4 linked regions of the Saccharomyces cerevisiae S288C genome follow. Changing the gene in region 2 together with the main gene of any one other region gives a genetic interaction. Each region holds a gene or a part of one and is shown on either strand. Other genes may lie near its edges.

The links.
Region 1: of PGI1 (region 2) and PFK1, changing one enhances a phenotype caused by changing the other (phenotypic enhancement), as found in Saccharomyces cerevisiae (one study listed by BioGRID).
Region 3: of PGI1 (region 2) and GAL3, changing one enhances a phenotype caused by changing the other (phenotypic enhancement), as found in Saccharomyces cerevisiae (one study listed by BioGRID).
Region 4: of PGI1 (region 2) and FLO11, changing one suppresses a phenotype caused by changing the other (phenotypic suppression), as found in Saccharomyces cerevisiae (one study listed by BioGRID).

Annotation. Positions count from the first base shown.
Region 1 is NC_001139.9:970,263-975,342, reverse strand, and holds PFK1 (6-phosphofructokinase subunit alpha), read left to right. Parts: upstream 1-1,608; coding exon 1,609-4,572; downstream 4,573-5,080. Other genes in the region: YAP1802 (Yap1802p), read left to right, coding at 1-468; YGR240C-A (uncharacterized protein), read left to right, coding at 566-766. UniProt on the Saccharomyces cerevisiae protein: Catalyzes the phosphorylation of D-fructose 6-phosphate to fructose 1,6-bisphosphate by ATP, the first committing step of glycolysis.
Region 2 is NC_001134.8:611,691-615,708, reverse strand, and holds PGI1 (glucose-6-phosphate isomerase), read left to right. Parts: upstream 1-1,808; coding exon 1,809-3,473; downstream 3,474-4,018. Other genes in the region: YBR197C (uncharacterized protein), read left to right, coding at 1-506; YBR196C-B (uncharacterized protein), read left to right, coding at 1,079-1,183; YBR196C-A (uncharacterized protein), read left to right, coding at 1,536-1,685; MSI1 (Msi1p), read left to right, coding at 3,827-4,018. UniProt on the Saccharomyces cerevisiae protein: In the cytoplasm, catalyzes the conversion of glucose-6-phosphate to fructose-6-phosphate, the second step in glycolysis, and the reverse reaction during gluconeogenesis.
Region 3 is NC_001136.10:461,902-465,545, forward strand, and holds GAL3 (transcriptional regulator GAL3), read left to right. Parts: upstream 1-1,532; coding exon 1,533-3,095; downstream 3,096-3,644. Other genes in the region: phosphoribosylanthranilate isomerase TRP1, read left to right, coding at 1-615; YDR010C (uncharacterized protein), read right to left, coding at 3,150-3,482.
Region 4 is NC_001141.2:389,065-395,475, reverse strand, and holds FLO11 (Flo11p), read left to right. Parts: upstream 1-1,800; coding exon 1,801-5,904; downstream 5,905-6,411. Other genes in the region: YIR020C (uncharacterized protein), read left to right, coding at 919-1,221. UniProt on the Saccharomyces cerevisiae protein: Homophilic binding protein that enables kin discrimination in heterogeneous yeast populations by mediating homotypic cell-cell interactions during flocculation, a reversible and asexual process in which cells adhere to form aggregates (flocs).

The sequences.
Region 1 (5,080 bases), on a different chromosome or scaffold from region 2:
GCTTCTAACCTTCAATACACCCCAAATTTCACCGGCTCAGGGTTCGGCGGATACACGACCACCGAGAACAATGCAATTATGACCGGCACTTTAGATCCAACAAAAACGGGGTCTAACAACCCATTTTCGCTAGAAAATATTGCCAGAGAACAGCAACAACAAAATTTCCAAAACTCCCCAAATCCTTTTACCCTCCAACAAGCACAAACCACCCCGATTCTTGCTCATAGTCAAACAGGTAATCCATTTCAGGCTCAAAACGTGGTGACATCACCAATGGGCACATACATGACGAATCCCGTGGCCGGTCAACTTCAGTATGCCTCTACTGGTGCGCAGCAGCAACCACAAATGATGCAGGGTCAGCAAACAGGGTATGTTATGGTTCCCACTGCGTTTGTCCCCATCAATCAACAACAGCAACAACAGCAGCATCAGCAAGAAAATCCTAACTTAATAGATATATAGTGAGCGATAGATACTACAGTTTTTTGTTCTCAACAGGCCGTCCTTGCATATTATAAACTCTGATTTTTAGGTAATCCCTTCCACCTTTCTATATTTTATGATACTATCCAAACATGTAAATTTTACGTACCATACATATAACCTCATCTATAATTTTTACCCTGATCTAACTAACTTTGGCATGCCTGGTTCAATCTACGGGTTACAGTCATCGTTGAAAACGATGGAAAAACATGTCGAGATTCCTCAATCCATACACCATTATAGTCCGTTTTATCAGCTTCCACTAATTTTTTAAATCTCAGTTTCTTCTTGAAATTTAGCATCGTGCATGGGATAGCGGCTAGTAAAAAAGAAAATTAATATCTCATTAACAAAGTTATTGTACATAATCCGGTACAATATTCTTCAATGTACTCTCTAATATCGAGCACACTGGCAATATTCATGCACACATTCGCCTAATGCTGACGAATGCTTAATCAGTGCAATTACTGCCACCCTCTTGATATGTGGGCTAAATCCTTTAGGACCTGTAAAAAATGCAATCACGTTTTCACATTTTTTTTTTTCTTGCGGAATTGCGGAATTTCCCAGTTGGCAGCGTTATCCGATTTGAGATCGACTTGCATCAACCTTTGAAAAATATAAGGATGAGAAAGTGAAATCGGTTTTTTTTTTCCATTGTCGTCATCAACATGATTTTTTAAATAAATAAATACGATTTTTTATTTTTTTTCCCTTCTTTGTTTTTGTTTTGCTTATTCCCATCTTCATTATTAAATTCTTCCGCTCTTAATAAAGGAGTTTTTTTATTATCTTCTTGTGTAATCATCCTTTTTCTTTAATTTTCTTCCTTTTCTTTTTCTCTTTACTGGTTTTTTTACTTCTTTATTCTCAACCATCTAAAGAATATTATTGCTTTCTACCAATAAAATCTGTTAATTCTATTTGGATTGTCGTCTACTCAAGTCTCGCCTAGTAAATAAACGATAAACAAATTTGAAGTAAGAATAACAATATAGGGAGAGAAATTTTTCTATTTTTAATTTCGAAACAGGTACCAAAAAATCTAAGTTCACTTTAGCACTATTTGGGAAAGCTTTTATATAAAAAATCTGAAACAAAATCATATCAAAGATGCAATCTCAAGATTCATGCTACGGTGTTGCATTCAGATCTATCATCACAAATGATGAAGCTTTATTCAAGAAGACCATTCACTTTTATCACACTCTAGGATTTGCAACTGTGAAAGATTTCAACAAATTCAAACATGGTGAAAATAGCTTACTATCTTCAGGGACTTCCCAAGATTCCTTGAGAGAAGTTTGGTTAGAATCTTTCAAGTTGAGTGAGGTTGATGCTTCTGGGTTCCGTATACCACAACAAGAAGCTACTAACAAGGCTCAAAGTCAAGGTGCTCTATTAAAGATTCGTTTAGTGATGTCTGCTCCAATCGATGAAACTTTCGACACCAACGAAACCGCCACAATCACTTATTTCTCTACTGATTTGAACAAGATTGTCGAGAAATTCCCAAAACAAGCCGAAAAATTGTCCGATACCTTAGTGTTTTTGAAAGATCCAATGGGCAACAACATCACCTTCTCAGGCTTAGCTAATGCAACCGATTCCGCTCCAACTTCCAAAGATGCTTTCTTAGAAGCTACCTCCGAAGACGAAATCATCTCTAGAGCTTCTTCCGATGCTTCTGACTTACTAAGACAAACATTGGGCTCTTCTCAAAAGAAGAAGAAGATTGCTGTCATGACTTCTGGTGGTGATTCTCCAGGTATGAATGCCGCTGTTCGTGCCGTTGTTCGTACAGGTATACATTTCGGCTGTGATGTTTTTGCTGTTTACGAAGGTTACGAAGGTTTACTAAGAGGCGGTAAATATTTAAAGAAAATGGCTTGGGAAGATGTCAGAGGTTGGTTAAGTGAAGGTGGTACTTTGATTGGTACTGCTCGTTCTATGGAATTCAGAAAGCGTGAGGGTCGTAGACAAGCTGCAGGCAATTTAATTTCGCAAGGTATTGACGCTTTGGTTGTTTGTGGTGGTGATGGTTCTTTAACCGGTGCTGATCTTTTCAGACACGAATGGCCATCTTTGGTTGATGAATTGGTTGCAGAAGGTAGATTCACTAAAGAAGAAGTCGCCCCATACAAGAATTTGTCCATTGTTGGTCTTGTCGGTTCCATCGATAATGATATGTCTGGTACTGACTCTACCATTGGTGCTTATTCTGCTTTGGAAAGAATCTGTGAAATGGTTGACTACATTGATGCCACCGCTAAATCCCACTCCCGTGCCTTTGTTGTTGAAGTTATGGGTAGACATTGTGGTTGGTTGGCCTTGATGGCTGGTATTGCTACCGGTGCCGATTACATTTTTATTCCAGAAAGAGCTGTTCCTCACGGAAAATGGCAGGACGAATTGAAGGAAGTGTGCCAAAGACACAGAAGTAAGGGTAGAAGAAATAACACAATTATTGTCGCTGAAGGTGCTTTAGATGATCAATTAAACCCTGTTACTGCCAATGACGTCAAAGATGCTTTGATTGAATTGGGTCTAGACACCAAGGTAACCATTCTAGGTCACGTTCAAAGAGGTGGTACAGCTGTTGCTCATGACAGATGGTTAGCTACTCTACAAGGTGTCGATGCTGTTAAGGCCGTTCTGGAATTTACCCCTGAAACTCCTTCTCCATTAATTGGTATTTTAGAAAACAAGATAATTAGAATGCCATTGGTTGAATCTGTGAAGTTGACTAAATCTGTTGCCACTGCCATTGAAAACAAAGATTTCGATAAGGCAATTTCTTTAAGAGACACAGAATTTATTGAACTTTACGAAAACTTCTTATCCACTACCGTTAAAGATGATGGTTCCGAATTATTGCCAGTATCTGACAGACTAAACATTGGTATTGTCCATGTTGGTGCCCCATCTGCTGCTTTGAACGCTGCCACCCGTGCCGCAACTCTATACTGTTTGTCTCACGGCCATAAACCATACGCTATCATGAATGGTTTCAGTGGATTGATTCAAACCGGTGAAGTGAAGGAACTATCATGGATTGATGTCGAAAACTGGCATAACTTGGGTGGTTCCGAAATCGGTACGAACAGATCTGTTGCTTCAGAAGATTTGGGTACCATTGCTTACTACTTCCAAAAGAACAAGCTAGACGGTTTGATTATTCTTGGTGGTTTTGAAGGTTTCAGGTCCTTGAAGCAATTGCGTGACGGTAGAACCCAACACCCAATCTTTAACATTCCAATGTGTTTGATTCCAGCCACTGTTTCTAACAACGTTCCAGGTACTGAATACTCACTTGGTGTTGATACCTGTTTGAACGCATTAGTCAATTACACTGATGACATCAAACAGAGTGCTTCTGCGACAAGAAGAAGAGTCTTCGTCTGTGAAGTCCAAGGTGGTCACTCTGGTTACATCGCTTCTTTCACTGGTTTAATCACTGGTGCTGTTTCAGTGTACACTCCAGAAAAGAAGATCGACTTAGCTTCTATCAGAGAAGATATAACTCTATTAAAAGAGAACTTTCGTCACGACAAAGGTGAAAACAGAAACGGTAAGCTATTGGTTAGAAACGAACAAGCTTCTAGCGTATATAGCACTCAATTGTTGGCTGACATCATCTCTGAAGCAAGCAAGGGTAAGTTTGGTGTTAGAACTGCTATCCCAGGCCATGTTCAACAAGGTGGTGTTCCATCTTCTAAAGACCGTGTCACCGCTTCCAGATTTGCTGTCAAATGTATCAAGTTTATCGAACAATGGAACAAGAAAAATGAAGCTTCTCCAAACACTGACGCTAAGGTTTTGAGATTCAAGTTCGATACTCACGGTGAAAAGGTACCAACTGTTGAGCACGAAGATGACTCTGCTGCTGTTATCTGTGTTAATGGTTCTCACGTTTCCTTCAAGCCAATTGCTAACCTTTGGGAAAACGAAACCAACGTTGAATTAAGAAAGGGTTTTGAAGTTCACTGGGCTGAATACAACAAGATTGGTGACATCCTGTCCGGTAGATTAAAGTTGAGAGCTGAGGTAGCCGCTTTAGCCGCTGAAAACAAATGAATGATTGCAATGAAAAGTTTAAGTTAAGCAAAAGGAGGTAAAAATGGCATGCACTTTAATTTTTATACAATCGTTTTTTTGTCATAAGACTTATTTATGTATCTGTTGTTTTTCTTTTTCTATCCTCTATTTTTGTCTATTTGTCTTTGTTTTACTCTTTTTCATTATTATTTCTTTATATAATTTTTGTACGATATGATACACATAACAATGAGCAATGAACATATTTCTAATCCTAACCATTAGATATACTTTTCAACTGAGGAATAATGGCGCCTTGATTAAACTAAGCTATGGAATTTGCATTATTCAAGTTTTAGGGTGTGCTTAATCTGCGTTGACAATGGTTCACGAAGACGACATCGGCAACTTTGCTGTACTACAAATTGCTCTGAATGTGAGGCTGATCCACATCATAGTGAGGCGCGCTACCTTAATTGTAGTCGTATTGTCATCGGTCTACGAATACCGTTTGGTTTATTTGTCGGCCTTTTTTCTTTCCGTTTCT
Region 2 (4,018 bases):
ATTCCACTGCCTCTATAATGGGCAGTTCCAACGCACTTCCGACCAAAAACCTAACCACGCCTCCAGCACTAAACCCCTTAACGACCAGCATTAGTAGGGGTAATACTGCATACGAAAGAAGCGTAAATGGTAGCCGTATAACAATGCACTCAAACCTGGCACCTACGGAGACGCAAGACGTATCATGGTCTGAAATCGATACACTGGATGATGTGAAGAAGATGGCGAAAGAACCTATCGTCAACGACGGGTTCCCACGAGATTTTGAGAGCAATCTCACGCAAATGCGCAAGTCGCACGCTCAACTACTGCGATTAATGAGGGAAAGAAATCAGCGACTAAAGTATGCCAAGCTGAGGAGCCCTCCTCATAAGGATCAGCATAATTCTGCCACGAATAAAGATCAAGAACCAGACGAGGTATTGCATGACCCGGAAATCGCACTTGACGGTGAGAAGTACGTGAGCCAAGTTGTCGATACTATTAAAGATGTTCACCGATGCTGATGACATGTATGGGTTGAAAATATTTAGAGGATGCTAAAAGTCCCGTCTAAAATAGAGGAAGTCATGGATTACATTATCACCTTTATTGTCCTGTTCCGTCTGGCTAATTTGGGACGAGGAACGTTTGTCTCCATTCGCAACCTTTTGAAACCATATGAACGGCGGCTAATCTGACAGATGTCTTATATTTCTAGGATTGTAGAAAGCCTCCTCATCAAACCACCTTGTTTGAAAAAGGCACTAGTGCGGTTGCTTTACTTGATCTAGTATTCTCCTACCTTGGAGCGGTCCCATATCAACTAAATTCAGTTTTCTGACTGAGTTAAAAACTAATGTAGCGACACCACTTCCATTGGTGCCTCCGTTATTTTTTTTTTGTATGTTAATGCTAAATAATACACCGCTATGTATTTCAGGGCACTACTTCTACACATCAACGGTACTAAACATTTCGCTCAAGATCGGTCCGCTTTCACGTATTTGGATGCTATGCAATGTTGACTATTCTTAGTGGATAACATGCGGCATTTCCTGGCGGCTATTTGCATCGCTATGTAAGTGGCAATGTTCGGATGTGGGTAGTACTTTCAAAAGAAAAAATATTACTGAAGAAGGCATACTACGCCAAGACTATTTTATTCTCAGCACTTGTCCTACGTGGGGTTAGAGGCGAGTAAGACTTTGGCCCCGCTGCGGAAGCAAAGAGAATTTTGCCATCGGACATGCTACCTTACGCTTATATCTCTCATTGGAATATCGTTTTCTGATTAAAACACGGAAGTAAGAACTTAATTCGTTTTTCGTTGAACTATGTTGTGCCAGCGTAACATTAAAAAAGAGTGTACAAGGCCACGTTCTGTCACCGTCAGAAAAATATGTCAATGAGGCAAGAACCGGGATGGTAACAAAAATCACGATCTGGGTGGGTGTGGGTGTATTGGATTATAGGAAGCCACGCGCTCAACCTGGAATTACAGGAAGCTGGTAATTTTTTGGGTTTGCAATCATCACCATCTGCACGTTGTTATAATGTCCCGTGTCTATATATATCCATTGACGGTATTCTATTTTTTTGCTATTGAAATGAGCGTTTTTTGTTACTACAATTGGTTTTACAGACGGAATTTTCCCTATTTGTTTCGTCCCATTTTTCCTTTTCTCATTGTTCTCATATCTTAAAAAGGTCCTTTCTTCATAATCAATGCTTTCTTTTACTTAATATTTTACTTGCATTCAGTGAATTTTAATACATATTCCTCTAGTCTTGCAAAATCGATTTAGAATCAAGATACCAGCCTAAAAATGTCCAATAACTCATTCACTAACTTCAAACTGGCCACTGAATTGCCAGCCTGGTCTAAGTTGCAAAAAATTTATGAATCTCAAGGTAAGACTTTGTCTGTCAAGCAAGAATTCCAAAAAGATGCCAAGCGTTTTGAAAAATTGAACAAGACTTTCACCAACTATGATGGTTCCAAAATCTTGTTCGACTACTCAAAGAACTTGGTCAACGATGAAATCATTGCTGCATTGATTGAACTGGCCAAGGAGGCTAACGTCACCGGTTTGAGAGATGCTATGTTCAAAGGTGAACACATCAACTCCACTGAAGATCGTGCTGTCTACCACGTCGCATTGAGAAACAGAGCTAACAAGCCAATGTACGTTGATGGTGTCAACGTTGCTCCAGAAGTCGACTCTGTCTTGAAGCACATGAAGGAGTTCTCTGAACAAGTTCGTTCTGGTGAATGGAAGGGTTATACCGGTAAGAAGATCACCGATGTTGTTAACATCGGTATTGGTGGTTCCGATTTGGGTCCAGTCATGGTCACTGAGGCTTTGAAGCACTACGCTGGTGTCTTGGATGTCCACTTCGTTTCCAACATTGACGGTACTCACATTGCTGAAACCTTGAAGGTTGTTGACCCAGAAACTACTTTGTTTTTGATTGCTTCCAAGACTTTCACTACCGCTGAAACTATCACTAACGCTAACACTGCCAAGAACTGGTTCTTGTCGAAGACAGGTAATGATCCATCTCACATTGCTAAGCATTTCGCTGCTTTGTCCACTAACGAAACCGAAGTTGCCAAGTTCGGTATTGACACCAAAAACATGTTTGGTTTCGAAAGTTGGGTCGGTGGTCGTTACTCTGTCTGGTCGGCTATTGGTTTGTCTGTTGCCTTGTACATTGGCTATGACAACTTTGAGGCTTTCTTGAAGGGTGCTGAAGCCGTCGACAACCACTTCACCCAAACCCCATTGGAAGACAACATTCCATTGTTGGGTGGTTTGTTGTCTGTCTGGTACAACAACTTCTTTGGTGCTCAAACCCATTTGGTTGCTCCATTCGACCAATACTTGCACAGATTCCCAGCCTACTTGCAACAATTGTCAATGGAATCTAACGGTAAGTCTGTTACCAGAGGTAACGTGTTTACTGACTACTCTACTGGTTCTATCTTGTTTGGTGAACCAGCTACCAACGCTCAACACTCTTTCTTCCAATTGGTTCACCAAGGTACCAAGTTGATTCCATCTGATTTCATCTTAGCTGCTCAATCTCATAACCCAATTGAGAACAAATTACATCAAAAGATGTTGGCTTCAAACTTCTTTGCTCAAGCTGAAGCTTTAATGGTTGGTAAGGATGAAGAACAAGTTAAGGCTGAAGGTGCCACTGGTGGTTTGGTCCCACACAAGGTCTTCTCAGGTAACAGACCAACTACCTCTATCTTGGCTCAAAAGATTACTCCAGCTACTTTGGGTGCTTTGATTGCCTACTACGAACATGTTACTTTCACTGAAGGTGCCATTTGGAATATCAACTCTTTCGACCAATGGGGTGTTGAATTGGGTAAAGTCTTGGCTAAAGTCATCGGCAAGGAATTGGACAACTCCTCCACCATTTCTACCCACGATGCTTCTACCAACGGTTTAATCAATCAATTCAAGGAATGGATGTGAACAAATCGCTCTTAAATATATACCTAAAGAACATTAAAGCTATATTATAAGCAAAGATACGTAAATTTTGCTTATATTATTATACACATATCATATTTCTATATTTTTAAGATTTGGTTATATAATGTACGTAATGCAAAGGAAATAAATTTTATACATTATTGAACAGCGTCCAAGTAACTACATTATGTGCACTAATAGTTTAGCGTCGTGAAGACTTTATTGTGTCGCGAAAAGTAAAAATTTTAAAAATTAGAGCACCTTGAACTTGCGAAAAAGGTTCTCATCAACTGTTTAAAAGGAGGATATCAGGTCCTATTTCTGACAAACAATATACAAATTTAGTTTCAAAGATGAATCAGTGCGCGAAGGACATAACTCATGAAGCCTCCAGTATACCCATCGATTTGCAAGAAAGATACTCGCACTGGAAGAAAAACACTAAACTACTTTATGATTACCTAAACACGAATTCAACAAAGTGGCCGTCCTTAACGTGCCAGTTCTTTCCTGATTTAGATACCACTTCGGATGAGCATCGCATC
Region 3 (3,644 bases), on a different chromosome or scaffold from region 2:
AGCACAGAGGCCGCAGAATGTGCTCTAGATTCCGATGCTGACTTGCTGGGTATTATATGTGTGCCCAATAGAAAGAGAACAATTGACCCGGTTATTGCAAGGAAAATTTCAAGTCTTGTAAAAGCATATAAAAATAGTTCAGGCACTCCGAAATACTTGGTTGGCGTGTTTCGTAATCAACCTAAGGAGGATGTTTTGGCTCTGGTCAATGATTACGGCATTGATATCGTCCAACTGCATGGAGATGAGTCGTGGCAAGAATACCAAGAGTTCCTCGGTTTGCCAGTTATTAAAAGACTCGTATTTCCAAAAGACTGCAACATACTACTCAGTGCAGCTTCACAGAAACCTCATTCGTTTATTCCCTTGTTTGATTCAGAAGCAGGTGGGACAGGTGAACTTTTGGATTGGAACTCGATTTCTGACTGGGTTGGAAGGCAAGAGAGCCCCGAAAGCTTACATTTTATGTTAGCTGGTGGACTGACGCCAGAAAATGTTGGTGATGCGCTTAGATTAAATGGCGTTATTGGTGTTGATGTAAGCGGAGGTGTGGAGACAAATGGTGTAAAAGACTCTAACAAAATAGCAAATTTCGTCAAAAATGCTAAGAAATAGGTTATTACTGAGTAGTATTTATTTAAGTATTGTTTGTGCACTTGCCTGCAGGCCTTTTGAAAAGCAAGCATAAAAGATCTAAACATAAAATCTGTAAAATAACAAGATGTAAAGATAATGCTAAATCATTTGGCTTTTTGATTGATTGTACAGGAAAATATACATCGCAGGGGGTTGACTTTTACCATTTCACCGCAATGGAATCAAACTTGTTGAAGAGAATGTTCACAGGCGCATACGCTACAATGACCCGATTCTTGCTAGCCTTTTCTCGGTCTTGCAAACAACCGCCGGCAGCTTAGTATATAAATACACATGTACATACCTCTCTCCGTATCCTCGTAATCATTTTCTTGTATTTATCGTCTTTTCGCTGTAAAAACTTTATCACACTTATCTCAAATACACTTATTAACCGCTTTTACTATTATCTTCTACGCTGACAGTAATATCAAACAGTGACACATATTAAACACAGTGGTTTCTTTGCATAAACACCATCAGCCTCAAGTCGTCAAGTAAAGATTTCGTGTTCATGCAGATAGATAACAATCTATATGTTGATAATTAGCGTTGCCTCATCAATGCGAGATCCGTTTAACCGGACCCTAGTGCACTTACCCCACGTTCGGTCCACTGTGTGCCGAACATGCTCCTTCACTATTTTAACATGTGGAATTCTTGAAAGAATGAAATCGCCATGCCAAGCCATCACACGGTCTTTTATGCAATTGATTGACCGCCTGCAACACATAGGCAGTAAAATTTTTACTGAAACGTATATAATCATCATAAGCGACAAGTGAGGCAACACCTTTGTTACCACATTGACAACCCCAGGTATTCATACTTCCTATTAGCGGAATCAGGAGTGCAAAAAGAGAAAATAAAAGTAAAAAGGTAGGGCAACACATAGTATGAATACAAACGTTCCAATATTCAGTTCTCCGGTCAGAGATTTACCAAGGTCTTTCGAACAAAAACATTTAGCGGTTGTAGATGCATTTTTCCAAACATACCATGTCAAACCTGATTTTATCGCTAGGTCTCCTGGCAGAGTAAATCTGATTGGTGAGCATATAGATTATTGCGATTTTTCAGTTTTGCCATTAGCCATTGATGTGGATATGCTTTGCGCAGTTAAAATTTTAGACGAAAAAAATCCATCCATTACCTTAACAAATGCGGACCCTAAATTTGCTCAGCGAAAGTTTGATCTGCCTTTAGATGGTTCCTACATGGCCATAGATCCGTCTGTGTCGGAATGGTCGAATTACTTTAAATGCGGACTACATGTGGCACATTCATACTTGAAAAAAATTGCTCCGGAAAGATTTAATAATACACCCTTAGTAGGTGCGCAGATCTTTTGCCAGAGCGATATTCCTACTGGTGGTGGACTCTCATCTGCATTTACTTGCGCGGCAGCACTAGCCACAATTAGAGCCAATATGGGAAAAAATTTTGATATTTCCAAAAAAGACTTGACCCGCATCACAGCGGTTGCTGAGCACTATGTTGGAGTCAATAATGGTGGTATGGATCAAGCAACGTCTGTTTATGGGGAAGAAGATCATGCTCTATACGTAGAGTTTAGGCCAAAACTAAAGGCCACACCTTTCAAGTTTCCTCAATTGAAAAATCATGAAATCAGTTTCGTCATCGCCAATACTCTTGTAAAGTCTAATAAATTCGAAACTGCTCCTACAAATTACAATTTAAGAGTAATAGAGGTAACAGTTGCTGCCAACGCCTTGGCGACCAGATACAGCGTGGCCTTACCATCTCACAAGGACAATTCTAACTCAGAAAGAGGGAATCTAAGAGATTTTATGGATGCTTACTACGCCAGATACGAAAACCAAGCCCAACCATGGAATGGAGATATCGGAACTGGTATTGAACGTTTACTCAAGATGCTACAATTGGTAGAAGAATCTTTCTCGAGGAAAAAGAGCGGATTCACTGTACATGAAGCCTCTACGGCGCTAAACTGTTCACGTGAGGAGTTCACTAGAGATTACCTGACAACTTTTCCCGTCCGCTTCCAAGTCTTGAAACTATATCAAAGAGCTAAACACGTTTACTCCGAATCCTTAAGGGTGCTTAAGGCTTTAAAAATGATGACAAGTGCCACTTTTCACACGGACGAAGATTTCTTTACAGATTTTGGCCGACTAATGAATGAGTCCCAGGCCTCTTGTGATAAACTTTATGAATGTTCGTGCATAGAAACCAATCAAATATGCTCGATTGCCCTAGCAAATGGTTCTTTCGGCTCCCGTCTCACTGGCGCTGGTTGGGGCGGTTGCACTATCCACCTTGTTCCTAGTGGCGCTAATGGGAACGTGGAACAGGTACGAAAAGCACTAATCGAAAAATTCTACAATGTAAGATATCCGGATCTCACAGATGAAGAACTAAAAGACGCAATTATAGTTTCGAAGCCTGCCTTGGGTACTTGTTTGTACGAACAATAACACTAAACACCTTCTTGGAACAACCTTTAAATATTAAAAGTTTACTCATACCTCTTACACTCTATAAAGAAACAAGTTGGTGAGTCCAATAGAACCCATTCCAGCATCCGATGCAACCATAGCCCGGTTGATGCGAGTCAGAGTGGCTCCGCACACAGAGGTTATGTGACCATGGTAACCGTACACATTTTTCCACGGCAAGGAAGTGGCGCGAAAGAAGCACCGCCCTCCACGGATCACCCCATTTGGAAAAGAACGGAGACATAAAAAAAAATTACCTTCACGCCAGACTATGTATGACTCGTAGAAATCTAGCATCCGCGGAGCTATTTTAAGTTTCCGCGGATGCCTTTCGATCCTTTCCCAGTCGTCTGGTTCCGCGCACATATGACTAAATGTCCGCCCATTTCCGTTTAAATCCGTTTTCTATTTTCTTTAGGTCTTTCCATTGTATTCCCTGCAACCCCGCTGGGTATTGGTATTACTAATAGTGACTACGCAACATCAACATATAAAACAAATGATGAGTAGTGCCCCTCCCTCACCGCT
Region 4 (6,411 bases), on a different chromosome or scaffold from region 2:
TTAATTAGTGATGGTTCTCACCACCCCAAAACGGTCACTTGCATGCATTGAGGACATGCACCTGCAGTACTTGTTTTTCTCGAATGTTTTTTACCATCTCTTTTTTCCTTATCTGAGCTGCTGACGCAGACGGACATTGTTTCATATTTCGAAAGCTGTGCGGGAAAACGGACCCTAACACGAATGTGAATGCGCTAATCGGTATTTCCACCACATGAAACCTGCTACTTTTTCAGTCCTCTTCGTATGCATTTCCCAAAATTCATTCGTAGCCTTGTCAACTTAGACTCAGTTCCACGGCGTGCAGGACGGGGTATTATGAATAAAAGGATCCACGGGTGAGATTTGTTTTATGTTTTAGGTATGGAGTTTTGTACCACAAAACTTTAGGAATACCGGATTGTGTGCCTACGCCAGCCCCAGAGTATGTTCTCACAGCTGTAATTCCTAGTGATCTTTTCCTGACTCCAATAGGAACGCCGGTAGGCAAATTAAACTTTCGCGGCAGGAAAAAAAAGGCTTTTTCTTTTTTGCCTTTCAGTTTCTCGGAATGTGGCATTACATAAGCATAATCCTTTTTGGGTGTGCCTGGAAAGTTCAAATTAAGGTTTTTTTCTTCTGTTTTCTTAACAAGAAAATGTCGCCCAAAGAGTTTCGGCCGTTATTTTCCTATCGAGTGGGTCCTTTTTGTCTTTAGTCCTTCTCTGGGGCTAGCGATCACTGCAAAATTAGGCTTTACTGGTACGAGTTAACTTTTTTTCTTTTTTTTGTCATCCTTTTCTTTGGGGCTAAGAATGGACTTCCCTTTTCTTTTTCTTTGTTGCGACAGTGGCTTCAAAGAACTGCTGATTGCTCAAGGCAATCAGTCCGAGCGTTTAGAAGGTGATTGTAGGCAGAAATTAACTTTGCGGTAAAAGAATGACATTCTTTCTTAAAAGAAAAATTAGCTTTTTTTTGTCAGGCATTGCACAAACTTTTTTATTTCTGCCTATACTCTTAAACAGATCAGTCATTCATGTTGTCTTTTTAACGGTCGTACTGGGACATCGCATACCTTGGGATTCCGTAATTAGGTGCAACAATACGGGCACAACTCATTCTGCGGTATCTTCACGGACAGAACTTCTATTGCCTATCGGTGGTGTGATTAACAATTGGAAGCGCAGAGCTTGGAATGGATTTTCAATTCAATGGATTTGGAGGTATTCGTTTGTTTACTAATATTTACTTTGAGGACATTGCCCAACCCTAAAAGTGCCTGCTCAAGAATAGAATAACATTATGATACGTTTTCTTGACCGCTGAGCAATTTAAAGCAACTATTAGGGTACGATTGTTTCTAGAGAAATGTGGGTCATCTTTTTAGGTCCGTTCTCTTCTGATGAGGTAACCTTTACAAAAATGTCATAGAGTTACCAATTGGGATTCAAGGCATCATCGCAATATACTTCGTTCTTTTACGGAGAAATTAAGCTCTTTCTACTTTGAATTAACTGTTAGACTTGTCTTATCTGAGGAATGTCCGTGTTCGAATTAAATAAAAAATTAGGGCAGTTTTATTTACCTTAACAAATATGTTCAAGCATTTACGTTACTGCGCTCTCTTCTAGTTCAAGAACGGATAACTCATAGACTTACCAGTACAAATTGTTGAAGGGTTCCCAATTGATAAAAAGGATCTCTTGCTTCCTAAAATAAACGTATAAAAAGCACCCTATTCATCAGTTATTATCCCTCGTCATGTTGTGGTTCTAATTAAAATATACTTTTGTAGGCCTCAAAAATCCATATACGCACACTATGCAAAGACCATTTCTACTCGCTTATTTGGTCCTTTCGCTTCTATTTAACTCGGCTTTGGGTTTTCCAACTGCACTAGTTCCAAGAGGATCCTCCGAAGGAACTAGCTGTAATTCTATCGTTAATGGCTGTCCCAACTTAGACTTCAATTGGCACATGGACCAGCAAAATATCATGCAGTATACTTTGGATGTGACTTCCGTTTCTTGGGTTCAAGACAACACATACCAAATCACTATTCATGTCAAAGGTAAAGAAAATATTGACCTGAAGTATCTATGGTCTTTGAAAATCATTGGTGTCACTGGTCCAAAAGGTACCGTCCAACTATACGGTTACAACGAAAATACCTATTTGATTGACAACCCAACTGATTTCACAGCCACTTTTGAAGTTTATGCCACACAAGATGTCAACAGCTGTCAGGTGTGGATGCCTAACTTCCAAATTCAATTCGAGTATTTGCAAGGTAGTGCCGCTCAATATGCAAGCTCCTGGCAATGGGGAACTACATCTTTTGATTTGTCTACTGGTTGTAACAACTATGACAATCAAGGCCACTCTCAAACGGATTTCCCAGGCTTCTATTGGAACATAGATTGTGACAATAATTGTGGCGGTACGAAGTCATCTACCACTACATCTAGCACTTCCGAGTCATCTACCACTACATCTAGCACTTCCGAGTCATCTACCACTACATCTAGCACTTCCGAGTCATCTACCACTACATCTAGCACTTCCGAGTCATCTACATCATCATCAACCACCGCTCCTGCTACACCAACCACTACCTCATGCACTAAGGAAAAGCCTACACCCCCAACCACTACCTCATGCACAAAGGAAAAGCCTACACCTCCTCATCACGACACCACTCCATGTACAAAGAAGAAAACTACCACATCTAAGACATGCACTAAGAAGACTACTACTCCAGTACCAACCCCATCAAGCTCTACTACTGAAAGTTCTTCTGCTCCAGTACCAACTCCATCCAGCTCTACTACTGAAAGCTCTTCTGCTCCAGTAACCAGCTCTACCACTGAAAGCTCTTCTGCTCCAGTACCAACCCCATCAAGCTCTACTACTGAAAGCTCTTCTGCTCCAGTAACCAGCTCTACCACTGAAAGCTCTTCTGCTCCAGTAACCAGCTCTACCACTGAAAGCTCTTCTGCTCCAGTACCAACTCCATCCAGCTCTACTACTGAAAGCTCTTCTGCTCCAGTAACCAGCTCTACCACTGAAAGCTCTTCTGCTCCAGTAACCAGCTCTACCACTGAAAGCTCTTCTGCTCCAGTAACCAGCTCTACCACTGAAAGCTCTTCTGCTCCAGTAACCAGCTCTACCACTGAAAGCTCTTCTGCTCCAGTACCAACTCCATCCAGCTCTACTACTGAAAGCTCTTCTGCTCCAGTAACCAGCTCTACCACTGAAAGCTCTTCTGCTCCAGTACCAACTCCATCCAGCTCTACTACTGAAAGCTCTTCTGCTCCAGTAACCAGCTCTACCACTGAAAGCTCTTCTGCTCCAGTACCAACTCCATCCAGCTCTACTACTGAAAGCTCTTCTGCTCCAGCTCCAACCCCATCAAGCTCCACCACTGAAAGCTCTTCTGCTCCAGTAACCAGCTCTACCACTGAAAGCTCTTCTGCTCCAGTACCAACTCCATCCAGCTCTACTACTGAAAGCTCTTCTACTCCAGTAACCAGCTCCACCACTGAAAGCTCTTCTGCTCCAGTGCCAACTCCATCAAGCTCTACTACTGAAAGCTCTTCTGCTCCAGTACCAACTCCATCAAGCTCTACTACTGAAAGCTCTTCTGCTCCAGCTCCAACCCCATCAAGCTCTACTACTGAAAGCTCTTCTGCTCCAGTAACCAGCTCTACCACTGAAAGCTCTTCTGCTCCAGTACCAACTCCATCCAGCTCTACTACTGAAAGCTCTTCTGCTCCAGTACCAACCCCATCCAGCTCTACTACTGAAAGCTCTTCTGCTCCAGTACCAACTCCATCCAGCTCTACTACTGAAAGCTCTTCTGCTCCAGTAACCAGCTCTACCACTGAAAGCTCTTCTGCTCCAGTAACCAGCTCTACCACTGAAAGCTCTTCTGCTCCAGTACCAACTCCATCCAGCTCTACTACTGAAAGCTCTTCTGCTCCAGTACCAACTCCATCCAGCTCTACTACTGAAAGCTCTTCTGCTCCAGTACCAACTCCATCCAGCTCTACTACTGAAAGCTCTTCTGCTCCAGTAACCAGCTCTACCACTGAAAGCTCTTCTGCTCCAGTACCAACTCCATCCAGCTCTACTACTGAAAGCTCTTCTGCTCCAGTGCCAACTCCATCCAGCTCTACTACCGAAAGCTCTTCTGCTCCAGTACCAACCCCATCAAGCTCTACTACTGAAAGCTCTGTAGCACCAGTACCAACCCCATCTTCCTCTAGCAACATCACTTCCTCCGCTCCATCTTCAACCCCATTCAGCTCTAGCACTGAAAGCTCTTCTGTTCCAGTACCAACCCCATCAAGCTCTACTACTGAAAGCTCTTCTGCTCCAGTATCCAGCTCCACCACTGAAAGCTCTGTAGCACCAGTACCAACCCCATCTTCCTCTAGCAACATCACTTCCTCCGCTCCATCTTCAATTCCATTCAGCTCTACTACTGAAAGCTTTTCTACTGGCACTACTGTCACTCCATCATCATCCAAATACCCTGGCAGTCAAACAGAAACCTCTGTTTCTTCTACAACCGAAACTACCATTGTTCCAACTAAAACTACGACTTCTGTCACTACACCATCAACAACCACTATTACCACTACGGTTTGCTCTACAGGAACAAACTCTGCCGGTGAAACTACCTCTGGATGCTCTCCAAAGACCGTTACAACTACTGTTCCAACTACAACTACGACTTCTGTCACTACATCATCAACAACCACTATTACTACTACAGTTTGCTCTACAGGAACAAACTCTGCCGGTGAAACTACCTCTGGATGCTCTCCAAAGACCATTACAACTACTGTTCCATGTTCAACCAGTCCAAGCGAAACCGCCTCGGAATCAACAACCACTTCACCTACCACACCTGTAACTACAGTTGTCTCAACCACCGTCGTTACTACTGAGTATTCTACTAGTACAAAACCAGGTGGTGAAATTACAACTACATTTGTCACCAAAAACATTCCAACCACTTACCTAACCACAATTGCTCCAACTCCATCAGTCACTACGGTTACCAATTTCACCCCAACCACTATTACTACTACGGTTTGCTCTACAGGTACAAACTCTGCCGGTGAAACTACCTCTGGATGCTCTCCAAAGACTGTCACAACCACTGTTCCTTGTTCAACTGGTACTGGCGAATACACTACTGAAGCTACCACCCTTGTTACAACAGCTGTCACAACCACCGTTGTTACCACTGAATCCTCTACGGGTACTAACTCCGCTGGTAAGACGACAACTGGTTACACAACAAAGTCTGTACCAACCACCTATGTAACCACTTTGGCTCCAAGTGCACCAGTAACTCCTGCCACTAATGCCGTACCAACTACAATAACCACTACTGAATGTTCTGCTGCTACAAACGCTGCCGGTGAAACTACATCTGTATGCTCTGCTAAGACTATCGTAAGTTCTGCAAGCGCAGGCGAAAACACTGCACCTTCGGCTACCACCCCTGTCACGACGGCTATTCCAACCACAGTTATTACCACTGAGTCATCTGTTGGTACTAACTCCGCTGGCGAAACAACAACTGGTTACACAACCAAGTCCATCCCAACCACTTACATAACCACTTTGATTCCAGGTTCAAATGGTGCCAAGAATTACGAAACTGTGGCCACAGCAACCAACCCTATTTCAATCAAGACTACATCCCAACTAGCTACAACAGCTTCTGCTTCTAGCGTGGCTCCCGTTGTCACATCTCCATCTCTAACTGGTCCACTACAATCTGCTTCTGGTTCTGCAGTCGCTACATACTCTGTTCCTTCTATCTCGAGTACTTACCAAGGTGCTGCTAATATCAAGGTTCTTGGAAACTTTATGTGGTTGCTACTCGCTCTTCCAGTTGTATTCTAATGATACAATTCCAACATGTTCGTTTCTTCATTACGATGTTTTCATTCTTAAATTAAGATATTATTTCGATACCCTCTTTACTTTCTTCCACCATTCTGTTTTCGCTGCCATAATTTTGTAAGGCAGAAAACTACCCGTAGAATACATATTCATTTACATATTTTTTAGTTCTTCAAAAATTATCTTTTACCTTTTTTTACTTTATTTTACCATTTTTCTTCTAGCCCTATTTTGACCATCTGATAGCTTATTCAAGAACAAGTACCGGTAGTATTGGCACCGCGCCACTTTTCCCTCTCGCTTTTTTTTTTTTTCTTTTTGCCAAGCGCCTGCACGTTCTTTTGTCTGGAGTCTTGGAAAATGATAACCACCAAAAATCATCCCACGGACGGCTTGAGTAAAAATGTTTTTCCGCGAGACGGAAAGAGACGTAACAACCTTACATTTTTCCTAAAAGATTAATAAACCTGATATTGCCTTGGCACAACTAATAATCTTCGACCAGGC